Linked DNA regions of Mus musculus. Each later gene encodes a partner of the first gene's protein in a complex. Links are inferred from orthologs where the notes say so. Each region holds a gene or a part of one and is shown on either strand. Other genes may lie near its edges.

The links. Proteins that work in one complex are often made in the same cells at the same time.
Region 2: the proteins of Arl1 (region 1) and Arfip2 are in contact, whole or in part, in a crystal structure (PDB 4DCN), measured with the Homo sapiens proteins. The link is inferred for Mus musculus from reciprocal best matches to the Homo sapiens genes ARL1 and ARFIP2. Residues at the interface, in NP_001168.1 of Homo sapiens: Glu17, Arg19, Gln38, Ile46, Ile49, Gly50, Phe51, Asn52, Val53, Glu54, Thr55, Gln64, Trp66, Ile74, Tyr77, Cys80, Tyr81; in NP_001363487.1 of Homo sapiens: Phe205, Thr212, Lys216, Thr217, Asp220, Asp278, Ile281, Lys282, Phe285, Leu286, Glu288, Asn289, Lys292.
Region 3: the proteins of Arl1 (region 1) and Golga4 are in contact, whole or in part, in a crystal structure (PDB 1UPT), measured with the Homo sapiens proteins. The link is inferred for Mus musculus from reciprocal best matches to the Homo sapiens genes ARL1 and GOLGA4. Residues at the interface, in NP_001168.1 of Homo sapiens: Ile49, Gly50, Phe51, Gln64, Trp66, Ser73, Ile74, Pro76, Tyr77, Cys80, Tyr81, Ser83, Glu115; in NP_002069.2 of Homo sapiens: Thr2173, Glu2174, Glu2176, Tyr2177, Lys2180, Val2181, Glu2184, Glu2190, Thr2193, Lys2196, Val2197, Thr2200, Val2201.

What each region holds. Positions count from the first base shown.
Region 1 is NC_000076.6:88,733,432-88,739,031, reverse strand, and holds part of Arl1 (ADP-ribosylation factor-like protein 1), read right to left. Parts: intron 5,490-5,600; coding exon 5,352-5,489; intron 3,135-5,351; coding exon 3,053-3,134; intron 1,942-3,052; coding exon 1,830-1,941; intron 1-1,829. UniProt on the Homo sapiens protein: GTP-binding protein that recruits several effectors, such as golgins, arfaptins and Arf-GEFs to the trans-Golgi network, and modulates their functions at the Golgi complex.
Region 2 is NC_000073.6:105,632,927-105,638,742, forward strand, and holds the end of Arfip2 (arfaptin-2), read right to left. Parts: intron 5,402-5,816; coding exon 5,283-5,401; intron 5,115-5,282; coding exon 4,893-5,114; exon of another isoform or gene 4,800-4,892; coding exon of another isoform or gene 4,728-4,799; exon of another isoform or gene 4,636-4,727; intron 4,353-4,635; coding exon 4,195-4,352; intron 4,060-4,194; coding exon 3,885-4,059; intron 3,468-3,884; coding exon 3,312-3,467; 3' UTR 1,275-3,311; downstream 1-1,274. UniProt on the Homo sapiens protein: Plays a role in constitutive metalloproteinase (MMP) secretion from the trans Golgi network. May have important functions during vesicle biogenesis at certain cargo subdomains, which could be predominantly utilized by secreted MMPs, such as MMP7 and MMP2.
Region 3 is NC_000075.6:118,553,492-118,559,091, reverse strand, and holds part of Golga4 (golgin subfamily A member 4), read right to left. Parts: coding exon 5,502-5,600; intron 3,520-5,501; coding exon 1-3,519. UniProt on the Homo sapiens protein: Involved in vesicular trafficking at the Golgi apparatus level. May play a role in delivery of transport vesicles containing GPI-linked proteins from the trans-Golgi network through its interaction with MACF1. Involved in endosome-to-Golgi trafficking.

The DNA.
Region 1 (5,600 bases):
TCGGGCTCAGAGACAGGAGCTCAGCGACAAGCAAAGCCCCGGCAACCCAGAAATGCACAGCATCTTTCCAAACTATCCAACAGTAAGACTCTTTAAAGGCAGAACCAACCGTAGAGGTGGCTCAGGGCTCAAGAGCGCTCCTCCTCCTCCAGAGAATCAAGTTCTCAGCCCCTGTAACAGGTGGCTCCCAACTGCCTGCAACTCCACCCCGAGGGGTCTGACACCCTCTCCTGGCCTCTGAAGGCATCAACACACACATGCAGACACAAACACGAAGACAAAGACATAAAAATAAGTCTTTTAAAAGTCATATTATTTGGGCAACGAGACAGCTCATGAGGTAAAAGTTGTCTCCTAAGCCTGGCAACCCCAGAGACATCTTTGGAACCTACATAAAGGTAGAAGAGAGCCAACTCTACACAGCTGTGTTCTGACCTCCATGTACAAATGTGTACACACGCAAACACACACGCCCACCACACACAAGCTAGTAACTTAACTTGGCTTACCTTAAATTAAGAGCTCTGAGTTTTCTGAGACTAATGAAATGATTACAAGAAGCTAGAGGGCTGGATTTTTATTCAATCTATCTTTCCAATAGGAAGTAACATGTACTTTTTTTTTTTTTTTTTTTTTTTTGGTTTTTTGGTTTTGGTTTTTTTCGAGACAGGGTTTCTCTGTGTAGCCCTGGCTGTCCTGGAACTCACTCTGTAGACCAGGCTGGACTCAAACTCAGAAATCTGCCTGCCTCTGCCTCCGGAGTGCTGGGATTAAAGGTGTGCGCCACCACCGCCTGGCTGAAACATGCACTTTATAAAAAGAACAGAAGGGATGGAGGATAGATACACAGAAGAGAGAGAGAGAGAGAGAGAGAGAATGGGCTACAGGTATGGATCTGGTTAACTGCACTTGCTGCTTATGTAGGCATCGGTCCCACATTTGATTCCCAAACTCACATGGTAGATTACAGCTGTGTATAATCAACACCTTCTTCCCACCTCTTCAGGCAACAGGTACGTATAGAACCATTCGTGTAGCCAAACACACACACACACTCTCTCTCTCTCACACTCACACACACACACACAAATAAAATCTTTAAGGGAGAGTTAGCCCAGTGATTAAGAATACTTGTTAATCGGGTGTGGTGGTGCTCGCCTTTAACCCCAGCACTTGGGAGGCAGAGGCAGGCGGATTTCTGAGTTCAAGGCCAGTCTGGTCTACAGAGTGAGTTCCAGGACAGCCAGGGCTACACAGAGAAACCCTGCCTCGAAAAACCAAAAAAAAAAAAAAAAGAGTCCTAGCTGCTCCTGCAGAGGACAAAGGTTCGATTCCTAGTGCCTACACAAAGGCTCACAATCATTTATATCTCCACTCCCAGCGCATCTGATGCTCTCTTCTGACCTCCACAGATACCATGCATATACATGGTACACACACATAATGCAGACAAAACAAATATACAAATAAATACGTCTCTGAGTATCTGTGTGTGTTTTCATGTTTACTTTTTATGAGGATGTTATATGCATCATGTATGCCTGCGGATCCACTGGAACTCAAGTAACAGATGGCTCAGTTGTCACTTGCACACTGCCAGCTGCCATACAGGTGCTGAGAATCGAACTCACGTACTCTGAGAGAGCAACCAGTGCTCTGAACCACTAAACCAGCCCCCAAGAAATATATCTTTTAAAAAAAAAGGAAAAGAATGGAAGAAAATACCTTTGAGTGTTTTTAATTATTATTGCACATGATAATATACACAAGAAAAAGTAAGCAAATGTAAGTGACCCCTCTAGTCCCTCCATACTTAACTGTCTGCTTACCTCCAACATGGCAACTAACTCAGACTTGGAAATGCCAATTCGATCTCGGTCACAACTGTCAACGACATAGATGACTGCATCTGTGTTTGAATAATAACATCTCCAGTATGGCCTAAAAAAAATTCAAAACATGTTATTCCTTGCAAAACACCTGACATGTCAGTTTACATGCTGGCCTTGGTCAATGATGGGAGATGGGTTACTTGTCAGCCCGGCTTGATTTACCGTTTCTGATCACTCTCAGTATGACTGGGTTGACAGAAAAGTGATAAATATTAAATTACAGACATAAATCTACAGTTTCAAGCTTTGAACTTCAAGATAAGAAGATACAAATTTTAATGTGACTTTTTATGTCCTTAATCACTAATAACAACCAGGAGTAGAATTGTATACAATTAGAAAAAATCTCAAATCAGGTGGTGGAACACCCATAACTCCAGCACTTGGAGGCAGAGGCAAGCTGATCTCTGTAAACTTCAAGGCCAGGCTGATCTACAGAGCAAATTTCAGGATAACAGAGAGACCCTGTCTCAAAATAACAAAAACAAAACCATAATAATAATCATCTCAAAGGTAACTTACCAAATAAAATGAGTCACTGAACAACAGAATATTCAGTTGACTGTATTACTAATCAATCTCCTCTCTCTCTTTCCCTCCCTCCCCCCCCCTCTCTCTCTTTTATTTTGTTTTCTATGAAAGTCTCACCCTGGCTGACCTGGAACTAGATATGTAGACCAGACAGGCCTCTAACTCAGAGCTCCTCCTGCCTCTGCCTCCCAGTGCTGGGATTAAAGATGTGCACCAGTATTTTTAGTATTTTTAACAGCAACTTTATTAATACTCTAAGCTGGTCCTCCAGTCACTGACATTTGCCAAGTACTAGATTTCAGGAGGTTCCTGCATTTCTATCAGCCTGCATGGACTTACATGATGCCAAACAGTCTCTCAGAGGGGACAAGGATAAAACCCAAACAAGGGGCCAGTTTTTCAAACTTCCGGGTTCTCGTGAGAGAATTTTCATTTAAGTGCTTTTCTGAAAAATTGAGTTCCTTAGATTTTAATCACTGGATGCTCTAAGGAAGATATGCAGTTTCAAATTCTACCATATTTTAGACAATATCTAATTTCCAACAGGAGATATATTTTGGTTTAGTGTTGTCAGCACTAAGAGCCATTAATGTTAAATACCACCAAATGATCTGGTGTTTACACCATACCTGATACTTGTCTGTCCTCCTAAGTCCCAAACTTGGAATTTGAGATTTTTGTATGTCACCGTCTCCACATTAAATCCAATAGCTGAAAGAGAAATCAAATCAACATATATGTAAACTAATATACTCTACCTTTACAAAGTGTCCAACTTCACTGAGTTTTAGCAACTGCTTGTAATTTCTCGTCACATTATGGGCTGGATTAATATAACACTTAAGACAATATCCTCTCATATTCATTCATTCATTCATATTCATATTCATTCTCTCTCTCTCTTGGCTATCGAGCCCCAGACATCTGCTCTGCCAGTCTGCCTCCTCCCTGCTGGAATCATAATTGTGCACTCACAATTATGGTCCCACATCCATGCAGTAGGTAGATTTCCCCAGCCCCAGAAGTCTATTAAACCACCCTGAGCACTGGTATCTAAGTGTTCAGAAAGTCTTGTACAGTTATAGATTCAAAAGCTGAAGTTCAAGCTTGGCGTGGTGGCGTACGCCTTTAATCCCAGCACTCGGGAGGCAGAGGAAGGCGGATTTCTGAGTTCGAGGCCAGCCTGGTCTACAAAGTGAGTTCCAGGACAGTCAGGGCTACACAAAGAAACCCTGTCTCAAAAAACCAAAAAAAAAAAAAAAAAGAAAGAAAGAAAGAAAAAGCTGAAGCTCTGGCAGACAGTGAATAATGAAAATCAATATAGAAAACTAGGCTCTAGATTCAAAAAAGCCATGCTCTCTACAGGCTGCAGCCGTACAGACCCTCTATGGGCATCTCAAGAGCTCACTCGTAACAAGGTCATAGCTCAACAGTCAATATCTCATCCCATTTGTCTGCCATCCTTCTTAGGTGTGCCTCTCTTAGGTGTGCCTCGACACCACACAGCTGAAACCAGAAACTATTTTCAAAGAAAATCTAAGTGAGGGAGAAAGTAATTTTGAAAACACTTAGGGTGGACATGTACAAAGTTTGCTCTCATTTCCTAAACTTAGAAAAAAAAGAAAAGAAAAAGTCAGGCCAGGCCTTTAATCCCAGGACTTAGGAGGCAGAGGCCGGCCAGTCTGGTCTACAAAGTGAGTTCCAGGGCTTCCAGGGCTATAAAAAGAAATCCTGTCTCAGAAAAGAGACAAACAAAGTCAGAGTGAAACTGACTTACGACCACCACTGATTTTTGTTTCCTATCTTTAATGATGTGTTGGTAAATGATGTATTTGGCAGGTAAGCATGCACATTACATCTGAAAAATAAAACCATGGCAAAAGTAGCAAACTAAAAAGCAAGTTCCTGTCTTCCTCAGAACTAGGCATATGCAGGTCTATGTCTACCACCGTCAAGAACTGTTCACGTGCAAACAGCCCACACTGCAGTCCACAGGCCCTGTAGCACTGAGCACTGCAGAGGCCACCAAAACCTGCCCATGTGGAGAGGAGAGAATCTCGGAAGTAAGAATCAAAGGAAAGGAAATGGGCAAAAGGCTGCAGAAGGAGATAACAGATGCTACAAAGTCCAAACACTCCTTGTTAAAAGCAAAAGAGAAAAACCCCCAGAAGGTTTAATAGTGACGTAATGGGAATGTCTAACAGAATCATTCAAAGCACACAATTTAAAATCCTGAGCAAGTTCTACAGATTCAACTTAATTAAAATATATTAATCTTATCTCTCTAAATTTAGCTCAACAAATGAAAAGGTGTAAACACCAAGAGTATCCACCCCCAAGTAGTAAAATAGGAAGGACTTTCTACAAATAACTTTCTAAGACAGCAGGAATAACGAGGCCACAAGCGGGAGGTAAACTACAGTGCCGGTGTTTCTTCTCCTTGGTTTCAGGGGCCAGGTCATTTCAAATGCTCTGCTTCTACAATTCCCAGTTTTAAAAGTGATCTACAGAATTACTTAGAAGAAACTACACTGTGATTTAGGCAATAAATATGCAGGAAAAAAAGGTGCTTTGTGTACAATAATACCGATTTAACATCTACATCCATCAACATACAAGTTAGCAAAGTACTTTATACGCCTCATTGACTCCTCAAATCCAGTAGACAGACAGTATCTTCATTAAGCAGTAACGATTTAGAGACTTAAACCAACTATAGCTCTAAACAGAGAAGCCTGTTTGTATACCTAGGCAGGGAACCTTAAATTGCACCAAAATGCTTCTTAGCTGTTTTGTTTTGGTTTTTTTTTTAAGCATTGTCAGTATCATTTCCATAGTAGAAGTTTACAAACCCCCATCATATGACTCGTTTATTCAGAAAGCTGTATTAGATAGAAACATGAAAAGTGTTATTAAACCAATACTTACTGGGAATAGTAGTAACAACTTCTCCAACCTGTAACCTGTACAAAATTGTTGTTTTTCCAGCACCATCTAATCCCAAAATTAAAATCCTCATTTCTCTGGTTCCAAAGAGACTGGAAAAAATACTTGAGAAAAAGCCACCTACAAGATAATAAAAGCAAAAATGTATTTGATGTCATCTTGTAAATTAGGTCCGCAAAACATTTAGCCTTTTGAAAGCTATATGCCCAATTAAATATCAAAACATTGTCC
Region 2 (5,816 bases), on another chromosome or scaffold:
GGTGGGCTTCTTGGTGCCTAAGGAGGACGGAGAAGGGAGCAGGGGTGGAGGAGTCTGCACTCAGGAGAAAGGAACCCTTTGGACGAGCGGGGCCACAAGATTCCAGAGTGCCAATCAGCAACCCCACCCACCCACCCCCAACACCATCGGCCGCAGCTTTCGGTACCCTCCGCCAACACAGAGACTCCCAAAACCCGCGCTCCTAAAATGAACCATCACCCATCCACCCGCGCCTCCCCCCACCACACAGCCCGCAAACACGGACCTCACGTGAGCAGCCACAGCCCAAAGAATCCCCCGCTGCTCTCACAGACACGGACACGCCTCACGTGGACAGAGACAGGAACAGCTTTTGAAAAGCATCCGCGCCCCCACCCAAAGACGCTCGGACCCACACACCGCCGCTAGCACCAGGACCCGCACCCCGATACACAGGTGGACCAGACGCACCCTTGGGGCCCGCGCGGCGCACTCACGGCGTGGGAGCAGGATGGGAGGGCAAGGCCCGGACTGCAGCCACTCGGAGCGGCCCGCAGCGCTGCCCCCGCTGCCAGCGCCCGTCCGCCCGGCCCTGCCCGCGGCGCCGCCCCACGTCCCGCGCCTCCGTCTGTCCCCGCGCCGGCGCCGCTGCCGCTGGACCCGTCGCACAGGCCGGAGGGAGGGGCCGGGGCGGGGCTGCGGACCGGTCGGGGGAGGGGGCGACTCCGGAGCCGAAGGCCCGCCCCAACCACGCCCCCACCTCTCAGACCACGCCCGCCAGCCCCTCCGCCCTTGCGGCTCTTGGCTCTCCCTCTGCGGTGCGGTTTGGAGCTGGCAAGCGGATCCCGGATCCTAGATCCTAGATCCGGGATCCTCGCCTGCTGCCTCTGGCTCACGAGGCCTAAGGGCGAGGGTGAGTAGCTGAGGTCTGATAGTGGCACTTGATGCCTTCAAGTAAAAGCAGCTAGAACCAGCTTTAGTACTCCGAGAGTCCGTTCCTGCTGCTTCTGGTCGCTCCTTCCTGGGCTTTCCCGGAGGCTCCTGTGAAATCTGCTAGTTTGGTTTCCACTGAGCAAGAGGGAGGGGGACCACCTGTACCTCAACCCAGAACTCTAGGAGAAGGGGTTTGCAGGCCAAGTGGGAGACTTCTTTTCGGTTTTAGGTTCCTCAGGTGCCGCCTGAGGAAATTTGGTTTAGACCATCCAGCGCGACTCCTTCCTTACACCAAAGACCCAGAGCAATTCTCAGAATCATTGCATTATGGAAAAACAGCCTAGGTACAATACAATAAAAACTGTACATTAACAGGGACTGAGTGTTTATTACGTGCCAGACAGAGCTAATCACTTTACATACATTATCTCATTTAATACGCATAACCGTAATCGGTAGCTGCTTTTATTAGCAGCTTTACAACGGAAGGAGCGGAGCGAGCTTATGTTCCCCAGGCATTAATCCTAATCAGCTAGAAAATGGTGGAGCCATGTTTGGGCTCTGCTTTCAGGTTCTGTCTCCAACCATTTGAAGATTCAATGCCCTTACAACAAAAATCCTCAGTGGCCCATAAAGTAGGGGGCTAATAAGAGAACCAGCACCTCTAATAATCAAGGCAGACAGCTGACTACATAAAGGCTAATTAAAGCCCCAGAAGCCTGGCTGGGGATTGCAGTTATCACTGACAAAGAGTCAAGTCAGAGTGGTGTGCACCCTGTGCTGTGGGAACCTGCTGACTGGGTTGGTCCCCTTTCTCCACCCTCTAGAGGGGACAGAATGCTGAAGAAGTCTGCAGTTGTCTTTGGACCTGTAGTTGACCGCACTCAAGCCCTGTCTAAAGTGCTGCTGGGAGTTTTCTTGTGATTTCTTATACAATTAAGGTTTGACTTCAACAAGAGCAGTGCAGGTTGCAGCAGGTGCGGTGAGAATGCCTTTATCTCTGCGGTAGCTACTCACTGGATGTGAAGGAGCTCAGGCAGGGTTCATGCTTAGAGTGACAAGCAAGGGTCACTAGGCTACCCAATAGTCCAGGAAGTATGTTCTCTACACTTCGCTTCTCCCGTGCTGCCAGACCTCTAAGAGGTTTCTTAGTTCCATTTCTCCAAAGATCAAGTCTGCCTCTTGTCTCTCACCCACTTAATTTTTCATTCTGGACTGAATTCTTATTCAGACTTTATGAGCATTGGCCTTTCTTCCTCAGCTGTTCGCTACTTACTTTTCAGATCTCAGCTTTTAAACTGGCATCGCCATCCCTACCTCAGTCTAAGCTAGATGCCCCTTATCTGGTGCTCCCACTGCATCTTGTATCCTAGCATTTCTCATTGTATTGTAGTTGCCTGGTTACTTGTCTCTATCCCCCACTAGGCCTTAAGCACTGTGAGCAGGGACTGCGTTTTATTCACTGATGTTTCCCCAGGGCCTAACGCAGTGCCTGGCAAATAAAAGCACTCAGTAAACATCGGCTGTATGATTGAATGCATGATGGTTAGCCGGCCCAACCCCCTCTGGACCCTATGCTCTTCAGACACATAGATTGCCTTGGTGCTAACGGGAAGAGAAAAATAAAGCGTTGGCTCTGAAAGTGAGGGGCATCAGGCCTTCGGCAGCTTCTCAAACTTAGCTGCAGCTCTTCTGAATTCATAGGAACTGAATGCAAGATTACTGGGCATTTCTTACCAATCCACCCTCCTCTAGTCCCCCACAAATTGACCTCACTGGGCCTGCTTTTATGAAAGGTTTATTCCTAGTGCTAGAACCCAGTCTTCTGGGGTTCTAAGCACAGTTCAACTGGGTGGGTGGATGAGGGGAGGGCCCATTCAGATGCAGGGCCACAAATGCAGCTCCCCATTATCCCCACCCCTTTGGTCCCAGTCCCCTTCTCTGCAATGGACACACATTGAGGAGGGAACAAAGGGTACTGGAGGCAACACTATTGGCCCAGAGGAGCCCAAGAAGAGCTGCCATTGGCTGACAGAACCTTTTGAGGTCCTGTCTTTGGTCAGGGGCACATCCCAAGAGCTGGGGATAGGCCTGAGGAGTGATGCCATTGGCCAGGGAGTGTTTTGTCATAGCCTTTGGCTGTGGAGTGAAAGGAAAAGATCTGGGAATGAAGCCCAGTGGCCAGGAAGATAAAGGGCAGGACAGCAGCTTCTGGGCCTACGGGCCTACGGGCCTCTTCAGACCACAGCAGTGGGCAAAACTGGTGTCAGACCCCAGTCAGAAAAAACGAGCCCAAGCCAGCAAGTAAGTGGCAAAGGACATCCCATGTCCAATCTCCTCCACCCTGGGGCTGCCCCGCCCAGTGTCCTTCTTGATAGCCAAGTTGGGCTGGGAGCTGCTCACTGCTCCTCTAACCAGGAAGGCTTCTCGGCTCCTGGAGGCCGCAGCTTGATGTTGAACTGCTGAAGAGTCTGCTCCAGCTGTTTCTGGTTCCCAGCGAAGTAGGCAGACACGGCATTGTGGAAGAGCAGCAGCTGCTTGTGCATCACCTTGATCTGGGGGCCCAGCAGGGTCAGCTAAGGCTAGACTCAGGCACCCTCAGGGAGGGGCTACAAGCCTAAGCCCAGACACAGTCCAGAGCAAATAGACTCTGCTGACAGTGTTTTGGGGTAGGGAGTTTTCAAGAAGTCAAAAGAGAAGGGGCAATATGAAGAAAGAAACCTGACTTAATCTGCTGGGTTTAGGGTTCTGGAACCCCAGCCAAGGGGCAATGTTTTTTTCAGTTATGCTACTGGGACTAGAAGCCAGTGATGAGGAGGGTGAACTGAAAGTGCTCAGGTTTCAAGGGGCTAGGGGAACAACCCACTCCCTAGCCAGGGGCAGCTCCGCACCCAACAATCAGAAGGGTCTGAAGGGATAGGTACTGTGTCTTAGGACTTAGGTGACTTAGGACCAAGGGAGTAGGGCAGCACCTTGTTTTCTTCCAGGAACTTCAGCTTGATGGCCACATCTCCCCGCAGCTTCTCATATTTGTCCCGATGGGTCTGGAAAGTGGCCTGGGCACTCTCAAGTCGACCACGAGTCCCTGCATCCCGGGGCCCTAGGCTCAGCTCTTCTAAGTCTGTCCGGTAGGCATCATATTCCAGCCTGGGAAGGGGGTGATAAAGGCTGGTCTCCACCTCTTCATCCACACTCATATTTCCTTTCCTTTCTGAATCTGTATGCCCCTAATGTTTGCATTTTCACCCATGCCAGCCAACTTCCCAAACCGTGGGCCCACACCTGGCAGCCTCATACTGTTTGACAGTCATGAGTGTGTCTTCCATGGTCTTGGTGACCAGTGTGTTGATGCTAGAGACAAAGAAGTTCACAGCCCCTAGCAGCGTCTCCCCATTCTTGCACAGCAGCTTTTGTGTCTCTGCATTATAGCCAAATTCCTCCTAAGGGCAGAAGGGAGGCACAGGCATTGAGTAACACTCCTTACCTGACTGCAGCTGTAGAGCCCTTCATATCCCTCCATCCCAAAGAAGAAACAGCCATCAAAACTACAACAACCAGACTGCCTCTAGCAAGGCTCTCTTAGCCACAAAGTTAGTAGGGTCCCTTGGCGATGCCTGAGGTAAGAGTGTGGGGAGTACGAGTTCTTAGGTGAGTTTACAAGACAGAACACGGAGAGCTAGTGCAGCAGGCAGGGAGGGAATCTGATTAGGCCAAGCACCAAAGGCATTCTTGATGATGTGGAGACAGGTTACTTATGAGGTACTGGTGAGCCCTCTCCCACAACCCTTCCAACTTCTGGGCCTCTGTACAAACCCTTAGGCTGCCTCCATAGGTGAGTGATGCTGGGGGCAGGACTGGGCGCACCCCAGAGGGGTTCTCCCTGGGGGCTGCAGGAGGGAGGGAGGGAGGGAGGCTGAGGAAAGCCTGCCTGGAAGGACCAGGGCCCAGTACCCCCACCCTCTTTGTTTTGGCTGAGGCACCTGAAGCTCTGGGGACTTCTGGCTGAGGTCAGCAAAGGCATCACCTAGTGCATGCTGGGTCTGCAACAGGCTGTAGAGGTGGGCTGTCAGTGCCCGGCCCAGCTGCAGGACACTTTCATACTTGCGCTTCGTCTCACGCAGCAACTCAATCTGCAGCTCTAGCTCCAGATCCACAGTCCGGGAGCCTCGGCCAAATCTCTCTGATAACAGCTGCTTTGTGCACTGATTGGAAGGGGGGGGGGGTGAGGTCAGAAATCTAAACTCCACCCCAACAATGAACTACTCCAGCACCCCCGTTCTCTTAGTCATAGCAAAGACTACACAGTAAGACCTGGGGAAAGGGAAAAGGTCCCCACGGAGAATTTCTGAGGAGAAGCACTTGAATCTTACCTTATATGTGTTGATGCCCCATTTCTTGACGATGTCAAACTTTTCTCCAGCGATGCCCCGGGCCACCTCGTCACCAGGGCCAGAGGGTGACGTGCTGTGAGATGGATGTCGGCCAGACCCTAAAGGACCAAGTTCTCTGACACCAGTTTCTCTTAGATAAAACCATACACTTCTGTGGCTCACTCCTCCCCCCCACCCCCCCAAACACACGAAATGACCTCTCTGAAGAAGGACTATCTAGACAGACAACTGCATTCTTCTGGTCACTAGGGGGAACAAGGACTCATGTCCTGACAACCAAATCAATTCAATGTATGTATCTGGCATTCTTGGAGTAGGGTAGGAGTGTTGTTGGTGTACGAGATAAGCGGGAATAGAAGCAAACATGACATGTGCGATTGGCAGGATCAAAGATGGTGAACACAGAAAAACAGAGAAGTTGGCTTATATTTCTAGGTAGAATTCTAGCCAGTAAAAGAGTCTAAAATGAAACTCTGAGAAGCCTCACAAAGCTCCAAACTGGCCTTAAGCTCC
Region 3 (5,600 bases), on another chromosome or scaffold:
TAAACGTCTTTGCAGCATGCAGAGTCTTTCTTTACAGGCCTTGTGTGTGCAGTCCTGGGAATCTGGAGCCTCTTGCTCGGGAGACGCTGCCACACTTTGCATAGATCTGGACACCGCTGGCACTTCTGGGTGTGGAGAACTCTCCAGGTTTTTAAGTTTGTCTTCTAGGCTGTGAACTTGCTTTTCTCTTTCTTTTAATTGTGCACTCAGCTCACTCAGTCGGTTCTCTGTGTCCTTCGCATACCGCTGGGTTTTCTCTTCCATCTGAGACAAGAGCTGCTTCCTGATGGCAGCGATCTTCTGCTCGGCCTTCCTCTTCAGCTCCACTTTTGCAGCACTTTCTAACTCAAGTTTGTCTTCTAAAGCTTTCAGCTCCCCATCTCTGCTTTTCACACTTGAATTTACATGTTCTAGTTCCTTCTTCACAGTTCCAAGTTCAGCTTCCAGCGAGGACACGTGCTCTCGTAGTCTCAGGACGGTCTCTTCAGCCTCCCTAACCTTGTTGTCTTTCTCTTCTCCCAACTCTTCCAAGTGCTGAAGTCTCTGAACCAGCCCACTGTGCTCAGTGTCCCTCTGCTGGTTGTAATTCTTAAGTGTTTCATTTAGGGACTCAACTTCTTTTTTCCTCTGAGTAACGCAGTCTTCTAATTCAACGACCCTTGCTGTCTGAGTCTTTAACGCAGTCTCTAAGTCACACTCCTTTTTCTCCATCTTGCTCTTCCTGACTTCCATCTCGCCTTTTAAACATTCAAACTTTTTATTCTGCCGATCAAGGTCTTCCTTCAGTAAACATATCTGCTCCTCCTTCTCACGAGCGTCCGTGGCTTTTACGTCTAGCTGTGCCTGCAAGTCTTTAATAGTGCTTTGGTGCTGGGCAAGTCTGGACTGTGCTTTTTTCTTCCACTCTGAGAACTTGTTGGACCAATGATCCACCTGCTCAAGGGCAGACATTTTCTCTTTACTCAGAGCATCGACTTTCAGAGACAGCTCCTGAAGCTGAGCTTGCAGCTGCAGCTCTTGTTCCTCGTGCTGCTTGCTCAGGGCAGAGATGGCTTCGGCCTTGTCACTCGGGCTGATGCTGCTCTCCAGCTGAGCACCGAGATCACTTAACTGCTTGCTAAGACTGGCAATCTCAGACTTCTTCTCCGACAGCTCTTCTCTCAGTAGTGTGACGGCATTGATGTTCTCCGCTAACTCCTTCTTCAGCTGTGTGATGCAGGACTCCTTCTCAGAGGCCGCCTGCCGCTGCTGGCCTCCTTCTTGCTGTAAGGCTTCTTTTTCTGTGAGAAGACCTTCAATGTCAGCCTTCATGGTCTTAATCTGCTTCTCTTTCTCTTCCAGCTGATTGGTAACCTGCTGAAAAGAGCTCTTTAGTGTGCGCTGCTCCTCTGTCAGCTGTGTAAGTTGTGCTTCTAACTCAGAAACCTGGCCCATTCTCCTGAGCAGCGCCTCCCCAACTGTGGCTGTGTGGCGCTGGCATTGGGACAGCCTAGCGAGAATAGCGTCGGCTTTGTCACGGCTGGTGCACACTAGTTCGTTCGTCTTGGCTTCTAACAGAGCTTTGGTTCTCTCACAGCGACTGTCTAGCTGAGATGCTAGCTCCTCAAGCAAGCTTTTGAGGTTCAAGCTCTTGTCCTCCAGGCTCTTCTTGCTGAGCTCATGCAGAGACTTACAGCTCTGGAGCTCCTTCTCCGCAGCCTGCACCTGGCCCGTCAGCTCGGAGACCCTCAGCTGACTCTTGTCTGCCAGCAGTTTCAGCTCAGCCAGCTCTTCTTGAAGGGAAAGCTTTTCACTCAGAGAACAACCCAAATCAGCTTCCAGCTTTTCCACTTGTGACTGCAGCTGAGATTCACGCTCCGAAAGGGAAACGATGACAGCAGACTTCTGCTCCAGCTGTCCCTGCAGGCCAGCTAGTGCCACGTCCTGCCCACTGACCGCCTCTTTCAATCGCGCCACCTCCTTAGTCAGCTCCTCTTTTTCAGACTGGACTATGCGGACCTTCTGCCTCAGCTCTCCCAGCCCCTGCTCCTTCTCCTCCATCTGCTCTGCATGCTTGTCCCGGAGCTCTGCAGCTTGCTGACTCAGCTTCTTTTCCCAGGCCTCTATGACATCATCAAGTTTTCGCTGATGAGCCCCGGTCAGGCTTTCTATCTGCTGCCTCTGGTTCTCCTCCAGTCTCGACACCGTGTCGCTGATTCCAGCTGAGTTAGCCTGTGCCATTTCCAGGATCTGCGCATTGAACTGCTTCTCTTTCTGACTAAGCTCTAGGACAGTATTTTCAAGCTCTTTTTTAAGTTTGGCTTCCTGATCCAACAACTTTTTCTTTGTTTCTTGCATTTCTTTTGCTTTCTGCTTAATTTTTTCCATTCTTTTTTCCTGATTTTTAAATTTGGTTTCATATTCTTCATGCAAAATACTAATGCTCTCTTCTTTAGAAGACAATGTCTGTTTGAGGATCTCGATTTCCTTGGCCTGCTCCTCTCGCATCTGTAAGATGATGTTTTCCTTTTCCATCAGGCTTTGCCGAGCCTGCTCCTTCTCCACAGTACTGTTCTTGAGCTGTGAGTCCTGGAGCTGGGCTAGCGACCTGACCTTCTCCTCCAGCTCACTCCTCTGTCTCTCCAGCTGCTGCACTTGAGCTCTCTGAGCATCTAATTCCTCACACACATGCTTTTTGTGTGTTTCCATCTCCACTACCTGCTTGGTAAGAAGGCTCTTCTCTGTTTCCAGGTCTAACACCTTTTGCTGCATTTGGGCCAGCTGCTCCTCATACGCACCTGCCTGCTCGCGTGCGGCGCTCTGCTCAGAGTGCAAGAGATCTAGTTTGGCCAAGGCCTGCTGGAGCTCCCCGGCAGACTTCTGAAGATGAGCTTCCAGGTCCTGCACCCGGGCCTGCCGCTCTCTCAGGTGCTCGTCCCTCTCGTCCAGCAGAGCCCCCAGCCGACTGAGCTCATCTTTCAGTGCCTTCTCAGCTCTGCGGACGGTTAGTTCTTGTTGCTCACTGATGCTGCCAACCTCACGCTGGTGGTGACGCCGCTGCTCCTCCAGCTCGGCCTCTAAAGCCTGTTTCATTTTATCTGCATCACCTCTTAGGACAGAAAGCTCCTCTGCAAGCTGGTCCCGAGCTCTCAGTGCTTCTGACAGCTCAGAAGAGACAGATTCCAGTTCCATTTGCTTCTTGTCAAGCTTCTCCAAGGTCTTTTCATTCATGTCTTGTATGTGGGCCTGGAAGAGACTCTCCTTCTCCTTCAGTAGTGCATCTTTCTCTTGCTGATACTTCTCTCTGAGCTCCTCCACAGCAGCCTGATGCTGCTGAGAGAGGCTTTGGAGTCTCTCAGTCCACAGGCTGTCCTGCTGCTGCTGGAGGCCCTCCACTTCTGTCCTATGCTGCTCAGCCAGGGCTGTGAGTTCTTTATTGTGCTTATTCTTCTCAGCTTCCAGATGAACAGCCAGATGCTCTGACTGTGTTTTGCTTTCTTGTAAACTTTTTTCCAAAGAGGTTTCCAATTCAAGAATTCTCTGTTAATGAAAATTGGGTGTATTTTACTAACAGCATACTTGTTTACTAGTGATGATAAAAGACTGCAGGGCCTATCTAAAGGCTGTTCTTTGAATGCCTCACATAGCAGACCAAACATAAGAAAAGGGCGACAATCTGCTGTGCTCAGTCACCAATGCAGTCATGAACACACTCAGCTCTGCACTTCCTCTATTTACCATCCCATAATGATCTCAGTATCTCTAGTCAAAAAATTCTAATGGGATAGTCAAAAAGAAAATAAACCACAAAACAAATAATGATAGCAAGCTTGGTAGGAAGATGGATCTCCACACTCTATGCTTTTAGGTTTATAATAGTATTTTATTACTTTTATAACAATTTTGAGGGGAAAAAAAATCTCAGTTTTCTACCCCCAAAGGCAAATACTTAAAAGCTTTTAAAATTTTATTATTCATATACACATAAGTGTATATACACATATAAGTGCATATACACATAAGTGGGGGGTGAGGAGGAGGAGGAGGAAGAAGAGGAGGAAGAGGAAGAGGAGGAAGAAGAGGATGAGGAGGAGGAAGAACAGGACATGAGGAGGAAGAGGAAGAAGAAGAGGAGAAAGAAGAAAAGGAAGAGGAGGAGGAAGAGGAGGAGGGTGCAGCTGTGGCTGCAGAGGGCAGGGAAGCAGGAAGCTGGCTCTCTTTCTGCACTGTGGTTGGGGATCAGGTTCAGATGGCCAGGACTGTACAGCAAACACATTATCCTGAGCTGTCTCATCACCAACCTGCACAGTTTTGTTTTGTTTTTCCTTAAAGAATATTCTTAACCATATTTAACCAAAGGTTGCTGTTCTCTCACAGAATATTAATTCTTCACTCTGAACAGCGTCAGACTGGAACAGTCCTAAGACACTGACAGGTCCAGCCCCTTGGTGACTGCAGAGATGCACTGCAGAGACAGCAGTGCAGATTCAGCCGCGTCAATGCCATCTCACCGCACCACGTCAGTGTCTGAACTGTCCGTAAAGGAAGAGCAAAGATGAACTTACAACTATGGGAAGTGTGACTGTTGCATGGCCTAACAAGACTGACAGATCTAAATACCGTCAGCACGTTCCTGTGGCAGGTCACACATCTCTAACAGTGACAAGAAAAGGGCAGAAAACTACATACACTTACACTATAACAAATACTTCATTCCAGGACTAGAGAAATGTCTTCAGGGACACATGCATCCCTACACACACCCCCAGCTCTGGGGACAGTCTCACAGACACACACATCCCCAGCTCTAGGGACAGTCTCACAGACACACACACACCCCAGCTCTAGGGACAGTCTCACAGACACACACACACCCCAGCTCTGGGGACAGTCTCACAGACACACACACCCCCAGCTCTGGGGACAGTCTCACAGACACACACACCCCCAGCTCTGGGGACAGTCTCACAGACACACACACCCCCAGCTCTGGGGACAGTCTCACAGACACACACATCCCCAGCTCTGGGGACAGTCTCACAGACACACACATCCCCAGCTCTAGGGACAGTCTCACAGACACACACACACCCCAGCTCTGGGGACAGTCTCACAAACACACACACCCCCAGCTCTGGGGACAGTCTCACAGACACACACACCCCCAGCTCTGGGGACAGTCTCACAGACACACACACCCCCAGCTCTGGGGACAGTCTCACAGACACACACATCCCCAGCTCTGGGGACAGTCTCACAGACACACACACCCCCAGCTCTGGGGACAGTCTCACAGACACACACACACCCAGCTCTGGGGACAGTCTCACAGACACACACACACCCAGCTCTGGGGACAGTCTCACAGACACACACACCCCCAGCTCTGGGGACAGTCTCACAGACATACACACACCCAGCTCTGGGGACAGTCTCACAGACACACACACCCCCAGCTCTGGGGACAGTCTCACAGACACACACATCCCCAGCTCTGGAGCCCACACAGCACGTGAACTTACGGTTCGGTAAGCCTCTGCTTCTTGCCCAAGTTCCTGGAGTTTATTTTCACTCTCTGTAAGGATGGCTTTTTTCTGCAGCTCTAACTCTTCTAAAGCCAA